Caenorhabditis elegans: one gene and its partner. The protein of the gene in region 1 interacts with the protein of each later gene in a pairwise test. Each region holds a gene or a part of one and is shown on either strand. Other genes may lie near its edges.

Evidence for each region.
Region 2: the proteins of C17E4.10 (region 1) and sma-3 interact in a two-hybrid assay, tested with the Caenorhabditis elegans proteins (one large-scale study listed by BioGRID).

Annotation. Positions count from the first base shown.
Region 1 is NC_003279.8:9,433,316-9,437,244, reverse strand, and holds the start of C17E4.10 (PRKC apoptosis WT1 regulator protein), read right to left. Parts: upstream 1,781-3,929; coding exon 1,673-1,780; intron 998-1,672; coding exon 813-997; intron 766-812; coding exon 267-765; intron 1-266.
Region 2 is NC_003281.10:6,862,040-6,865,968, forward strand, and holds the start of sma-3 (Dwarfin sma-3), read right to left. Parts: upstream 1,930-3,929; 5' UTR 1,925-1,929; coding exon 1,786-1,924; intron 1,328-1,785; coding exon 1,236-1,327; intron 1,110-1,235; coding exon 1,035-1,109; intron 986-1,034; coding exon 897-985; intron 839-896; coding exon 774-838; intron 657-773; coding exon 571-656; intron 524-570; coding exon 428-523; intron 384-427; coding exon 325-383; intron 3-324; coding exon 1-2. Other genes in the region: cra-1 (N-terminal acetyltransferase B complex subunit NAA25 homolog), read right to left, coding at 3,475-3,582, 3,656-3,826, 3,867-3,929. UniProt on the Caenorhabditis elegans protein: Involved in TGF-beta pathway. Plays a role in male tail tip morphogenesis.

The DNA of each region.
Region 1 (3,929 bases):
AAGAAGGATTTTATATCAAATTTCAGATGGAATTCAGATGGGAAATGAGATGCCTGAAGTAGAAATTCGAACCCAATCTTATGCATTTTCTTCTCCGCGACTTCAAGATTCAATTTTTAATTTTTTTTTGTTGAATTTTTTATTGCTAAAGTTTAAGAAAAGAGGAGTTGAGTTGATTTTTTAAAAATTATTTTTTCCTCGAAGTATATATTTAGTATATATATAATATTCAAATTTGAATATTTTCTGAAAATAAATTAGCTCACCTGTCTTCGAACATCATCATAAACATCTTTTTCATCCATTTCCTCATTTTCTGTCTCTGTTTCAGTTTCAGTCTCTTCATCGTCAGTTTCTTCTACAGTAACCCGCTCAAGAACTGCTTTCCGTGGTTCTCCAAATGATTCTGTCATTTTTCGAATCTCTTCAGCTTCAATTTCTTGTTCCGGTGATTTATTGTAATTTGTTTCTTCTTTTTCATCAAATGATGTTGTCAATTCTGGAGCACTTTCCACCATACGAATGAAATCAGGAGATTCGTTTTTATTTTCCTTGTGTTCTTCAACAGTTTCTACATTCGGTTTATCAATGATTTTTTCTTCTTTCAATACTTCTTCTTCTTTTTCATAATCAAATTCTTCCCGAATCGTCGTATCAGCTTCTGTATCATCATCTTCCTCAATTCTCCGATTCTCTTTCTCCTCTGAGCTTCGATCTTCAAAATCTGCGAATGTACGTCGCGGTGAAAGCAGTGGCGCAGATTTACTGAAACTCATAAAATATTCAAGAGAAAAAAAGAAGAATTGACTCACATTTCCAGATCATCGAGCAATTGTTCTTCGTCTTCTGGTGTAGCAATTGGAGCTCCAAACTCTCGGAACATGATTTGATCTACATTTCCATTGATTCTCATTGGAACAGAGACTGGTGTAGATGGAACTGATGATTGTGACGTGGCAGCAGATGTTGGTAGACTACGGTAGTCTGGACGAGTTACCTGAATAGAAAAACTGATTTGAAATTTTTTTTATAAAAAAAAAACGAGGTTTTTAAAAATCATGTTTCGAAACTAATTTCAAAATAAACTTATTTAAGTCATAAAAGGAAGAGAACATTTAGATTTTCCGAATTTTTTCGGTTTTTAAGCCAACAATTTGGGAATTGTTAAATTTACGAAAAATGTCAACTTTTTGGGTAATTTCGAGTATTGACGTAGGTTCGAAAACTCGATTTTTTAAATAAAAACATTTGAAACACTATTTTTTTAAAAATTGTAAGAACCTTTTTGATCGACTTCTAAAATTATGATAGGTAAAAACTCAATTTTATCACTTTTGACTCTAAATGAAATTTTTTTTTTCGAAAAGTTTTAATATGATACTTGGAGATTTTCCTTAAAAAATAGACACTTCATAATTTTCTCATATCTGATTTTTTTGAAATTACCATCAAATTATTAATTGGGTGAGAAAAGCATTAGAAAAATATCAAATATCTTTTAAAAATCCTAAATTACGATTTTTTTGTTTCCTATTTTTATTAAAGTTAATATAGTTGAATGTATTTGAACTTGAAATACTTCTTCTGAGATAAACAAATTTATTTTTTATAAATTTTTTCGATAAGGAATCCATCTCTATCTTTGTAACTTTTATCAAATTTGGCTATTTACCTGATTCAGAAATGCAAATTTCCTTTCATTGATATTTGCTTTTCCACGTGTTCCATTAATTGGATCAGCCGATGAAGAATCCCCACGTGCTTCACGCAACGCAGTCATCTCCGTCGGAAGTTCCGAAGATGTTGGGAACTTCGTGTGACCCAATGACGACGGCACGATTTTCTGAAACAAAAAAAATTGAAAAGGCGAAAAACTGGCGGTGGCTTCTGGCTCCAAAGGTGAGACAAAAGAGCAGCGGCGGGCTAACACCGGACGGACAAACGGACGGAAAGAGAGTGAGGAAGGAAACAAGGGGGGAATTGGTAGAACAATGTGAGATGGAAAATAGTGTCGAAAAATAGGAGACGCATAGAAGACGAGTCATGTGTGAGTGACTGAGTCATAAGATATTTATATATTGGACATCAATTCTACCAGGACCGTGTCAAAGAATCTCCTAATCTAATTTTTTTTCGATAAATTTATGAGAAATAATATTTAAAAAACAGCTGTATACTCAAAAAATTATCACCCAGACGCGAAATTTTGTGATCTCTAAATGACTCTGAATGACTCTAAAGTAAAAGTGAACAAATTATTTAAAATTAGTTTTTTTTTAAACTGGAATTCAAGCTACCTCGCCAAAATATTAATTATATCATGGGAATAATATGTGAGACATGATAACCGAGATTAAACGGGGAAATAATCGAGATTAATGTTATAATGAATATCTTCTCGTGATCACACCCAGAATGATGAACCTAATTAAAACTGAGCGTAATTTGGAGAAAAGTGGGAGCGAACGCCCGAGTAACTGAATGAACACTCAACTTTTTTCCACAGAATTACTGAATATATTAGTATAATTTTATCGATGTTAACAAGAAAAAATACCACTGCAAAAATTTGCAATGCTTCAAAAGCAATAACCTGTACATAAGACCGTTATAATTTCCCTTTCAATGATATTCTTCTCGAGGCAATGTCTGAAGTATATACTTTATGTACATTGTGAACGAACAGGTTGGATGAATAAACCTGAAAGACACGAATAGACCCAAATACTAAATAATAATGAAGTTAAGTGGTAGTAAATATTTTCAGGAAATTTTCATCGAAATTTTGTGCTCGTTTTTGAAGGATGAGTTGGTTCTACGTTTACTGTTTTATAGACATAAAATGTGCTCACAATCAGATGAACGAATATCGTAAGGAAAATTTTCAGATTGTTTTTAACGGCGGATCAAATTTCGAAAAAATTGCATGATACTGATGTGATACTATTTTTCGCTAAATTTTGCGATTTTTAAGATAAAATTGGTTGCCAGGTCTCGACACGATCGACATCTTTCAAATATTGGACGCGGAAAAACCATGCACCTTTAAAGAGTACAGTATCGCCTTTCTGCTCGTTTTACTACACATTTTCTTCGATTTTTCATTATTTTACTTCTCGCTTTCTCTTATTTTTAAAGGAAAACACTTGAAAACAGAAAAAAAAAACTATTAAAATCGTGGAGAGAAACGCGAGAAAATCGAACTACAGTACTCATTAACGGCGCACAACCCTTTTCGCGACCTTCATTTCCAAAATATTTCAGTCGTGCCGAGACCTGGGACCGTATTTCACATCAAAACTTTCATGCCAGCAAATGTTAGCCACATTACGTAGGAAGCAATGAAAGTAATTTGGACCGAGATATTCGTTAATGAGTCATCCACATTCTATGTTCCTTTTCGAACACATTTCATTGACGTTTTAAGATTTATTTTATTCGAAGACACAAAAATCGGGGTGAGTGGGGGATGGGAACGAAAAAAAATGCGATAAAAATCGAGTTGGGTGGGGGAAAGTGGCGATGGTGATGGGGGTACTGGTTTTTGACAATTTAGGTAGATGACAAAAATCGAAGAGAAAATAGGAAATTTGAAAGCAATATGCGAGGGATAAGAAAAAGAAAATGTTCATAAATCATTCGAATGATTTGTTTTATCCTAGAAAGAATGGGAAGAGGGGATGGAAATCTTTTTTCAGCGGGGAAGAGAGAAGAGGAGATAATATGATGGTGGGAAAGAATTCTCGAGAAAAATTCGAGAAGAGCCCACAGTAAAACGCATGTTTCAAAAGGAAAAATGCTGAAAACTGATACTGTGAGCATTGAAGTTAAACTTTAAAATTTGGCAAATGGAATAATGATTTTTTTCAAAATCTTTTGAAAAATATTTAATATTCCATGTGGCAAAAATTAAAGTTTGAACTGAACAA
Region 2 (3,929 bases), on another chromosome or scaffold:
TTCTGAAATTTCCGGATTATTTTAATAAAGAAACCGGTAAGAATTATTATTATTCAGAACTTCTCGAAGTTAAAGCTTCGAATCAGCAATTTTCACGTTAATTAACTCGAAGTGTCCACTTTTTAATAACTATGATAATATTATAGAGAAGATATGTATTATACCGTATTAATGGAGGAAATTTAAATCAAACTAATAATATTTATATTTTGTAAGAACATTTTTTAGAAGTCCGACCGAAATCGAAAAAAACTAATTATTTTTTGGTTTTTTCACTTTTAAAATCAATTTATTTCTACTTTCGAATGTCTTTCAAAATCTTACCTTGTATTTGAATTTGATGGATTAGTATATCCGTCGACTGTAATGCTCAGATTCACTAGCTGAAACTCCAATTTTGTTTTGTTTTGAAAAATCAAAACCTCACTTTAAAAACTTCTCCAACTCTCGAATTCAACTCAAAATACGTAATTTGGGCCCAGGATTTGGGATGACGGAACGGTGGAGGTCGCTGGTGAACTTGCTGAAAATTATAATTTTTGCAAAAATGTGTATTGCAAAAAAACTAACCACTTCTCCTCCATCTTCTGAAAAAACCGACGGGCTCGGCGAGCTTGCACAAGATGCCGTTGAGCTTCCACTAGACTGCCAGATAGCTGCAATTTTATGTATTTTTCATTTAATTTCCCTAGAGAATTTTAAAGAGAGTTTAGTTGTTTTTTTTTAATAGAAGATTCTGATATGTTTAAACAATTTTTAGATCCAACGCTTACTGTTTGGAGATGATATTGGTTGTGGTGATGGCATTGAAGAATTTAAGCCTTGTGGTCGTGATAATCTGGAATTTTATTCATTTTTGAAATGTATTCCAATTTTAAACAACTTTCAGAACAAACCTCTGATAGTGATATGGATTAATGCAGATGTACATGGTTTTGGAACTAGATTCATATGGGTAGGAGCATGTATCAATTGAACGTAATTCCTGAAATGAACATTCAAAAATTTCAAATTAATATATCCAATTAACTTACATGAGGAGAACTTATATCCGGCCACCGCCATACTCGACAGTAAATCACATGTGGAAGACCTTTCTTATGGGATACCTGAAAAGCCGGAAGTTTGGCGTCAAAAAGTCGTTATTTCAAACCAAAGTGTTATTTTTGAAAGTTATCACAGTTGTCTGATTAGCGAACAAATTTACGTTAAGCAACCACAACGGCGCCACATACCTGTAACCGACCGTCTAAACTTTTTGCTATCGTAATGCATCTTGAGTTTGTACATGGGTTTGCTAGAACACATTCCAGATCTTCGAGGGTTCCTGGAATTTAGAATTTGAAATGGATCGGTTGAATTTCTTTTTTTTTAATATTTATGATCTAACTTATAAATAAGGTGCACTTTGATTCATGAATCGAAAAGGGTCATCGGAAAATGTTAATCATAATATTATATTGTATCCGTAACAATATGCTTAACATTCGGATGGGTCTCGCCGCGCCAATAGTATTTTCGAATACATTCGAAAATGTTAAGTTTGTTTTTTGGTGCTTTCTTCTTACTGTTTTTATAGTTTTTTGCAAGTTAAAAAAAATGAAAATCATAAGAAATCGTAAGAAAAATTAGACTAAGAGGAAGGAGGCTCAAATATTTCTACTGTAAATTTAAAGGTAATCACAAAAATAGTTTTGAAACTTTCATAAGCGCGTCGAGACCCTTTTTCAGAAATGTCCCTCCCTAAATTATTATAAATTCCTTTAAAAAATATATTTGACTAACCACATCCATTATTTTTCTTTTTTAATTTTTTCACCAATGCCTCAACAGCCTTCTCACACCATTTTTCTTCGTCTTCTCCAATTTTCCAACCTAAAAGCTTTTTGACAGCTGGACCATGCATATGCAGTAATCCGTTCATTTTGACTGAAATTTTGCTCTCATTTCAAAAAAACTAATTCAATAATTATTATCGATTTTTGTTTTGCGCGATAAGAAATAGTAACAGGTAACAGAAACAAAAAAAGTGGGTAAACTGAGCGGAAAATGAATGAGAGAAAGAGAGAAACAAGGCTAAAAGTGAATGTTTGAGTAAAGGAAATGATGAGATGATAAGTGATAACAGGGAAGGCGGAGGAGGTAAAGAGAGACTGAGAAAATGAAGATGAACACAAAGAAAACAAAAATGAATCGTTCTTTTGTTTGCACTTTTAAATTCTTTTTTCATGACATGACACCGTTCTTTTTAATTGAACAATTTGAGTTGGGATGAGGGATGTTCCAGACAAAACGTGGCAAGTTCTCACATTTTGGAAGAATGCCAAAATGTTATTTTCTTTTCTGATCAGAGAAGATTTCCATATATATTACATTTTAATTATTTTTCGAATATTTCTATTTCAACATTGTAGTGAATTGTCCAAAAAATTCCAGATTTCACGAAAATTTGTCACTTTACTAAAACTATTCAAAACTTTTTTTTTTAATCGAAGTTTTTATTATGATATTCGTTCATGGACTTTTCGAGTAGAAATTCCCACTGGCAATACTCCATTTAAAGGCAGAGTACTGTAGCGCCAGTGGGAATTTTGTTTAAATACACATATAATAGTTGCCACTCTTTGACATAAAATAAAAAATTTCAAAAAAAATTTTGAAAGGTTTAATTATGATATTCGGTCTTTTTGGCACCATAGGAATAGTTTTTAACACTTTCCCCACTGGCACTACTCCACCTTTAATCATCTCGAAAAAATATATGGATTTGAAAACATTGTCACTATGATCTCATGTTGTTTATGTCATTTGCTCAAAATGAATTTCTATCATAAAAATGTTGAATAACGTGAAATTGAAAAAGTATTTGCGAAACCCGGATGGAATCACATCAGACTGGGGCAGTGTTGGTGGTGACCTTTCCCCACGCCCTGCAACCGATATAAAATAGTGTCCGTTGTGTTGGGGGATAGATGTAGGTAGAATAAAGGTAAATGTGCCCTTGTGTTAATCTTTGCGTCTCTTCATGGCGCAACCCTCTCTCAATTTTCCCAATTTCTTAGTGCCTTTGCGCTTATTGGTCACATCGGTGACCGCTCGTTGAAATAGAATGAAGAGGGAACAGGGGACAAAGGATGGTTGGGGACACAGTTAGCAAGAAAAAAAAAAAAAGTCAGAGAGCAATTTATTCTTTCAAAAACATGAACATAGTGAGAGGGCGAAATAAAAACAGTTGAAATCGGTATTTTGGAGGAAGAAAAACGTCATCGGGGGAAGAAAGAAAAGGCGAAAGATTGATCTGTAGAGATCCAACGATGATGAACTCAAATGATTATGTTTAGAGATGGGGACAAACAATTCGGGGAGCTACTACAAATTTGAAAAAAAAAAGAACAAATTAATAAATAAGGAGCCTAAAAAATAAGGAGCCTAGATGAACAAAAAACAACGTCTAAATATTCTGAAACAAAAAAATTAGAATCTTAATTTGATAGTTGTGTGCATATCTTCACATGTATTGAGAAAAGATCTTTGAAGGCGAGAAGCAACTGGATTATGCATACCTTCTAATGCAGCTTTAGCCTGAAATATTTAGGTGTTGAAATTAGGTTTAAACTCTACATATATGTATAAATATATCATATATCTAACGTACCCCTCCAAGATCTTCTCCAATGTTACTCGGGATGTACTCATCTTCAAGTGCCAGCATTTGTCCAAGATAGGTATGAAGGAAGTTTCCAGCGGATCGGAGTTCAACGTGCATCGCTCTTATATGTTCGAGAAAGACGACAGCCTTGCATTCGTCGAGAGCTTTTGTCATTGCCTGAAATTTACATACAAGAGTTTTTTGTTGATAAATTTACCTCTTCAGCAGCTTTCTTGTCTTTCTTTCCTTTTCCTTTCCCAACGGGTTCGGGAACAGCTGT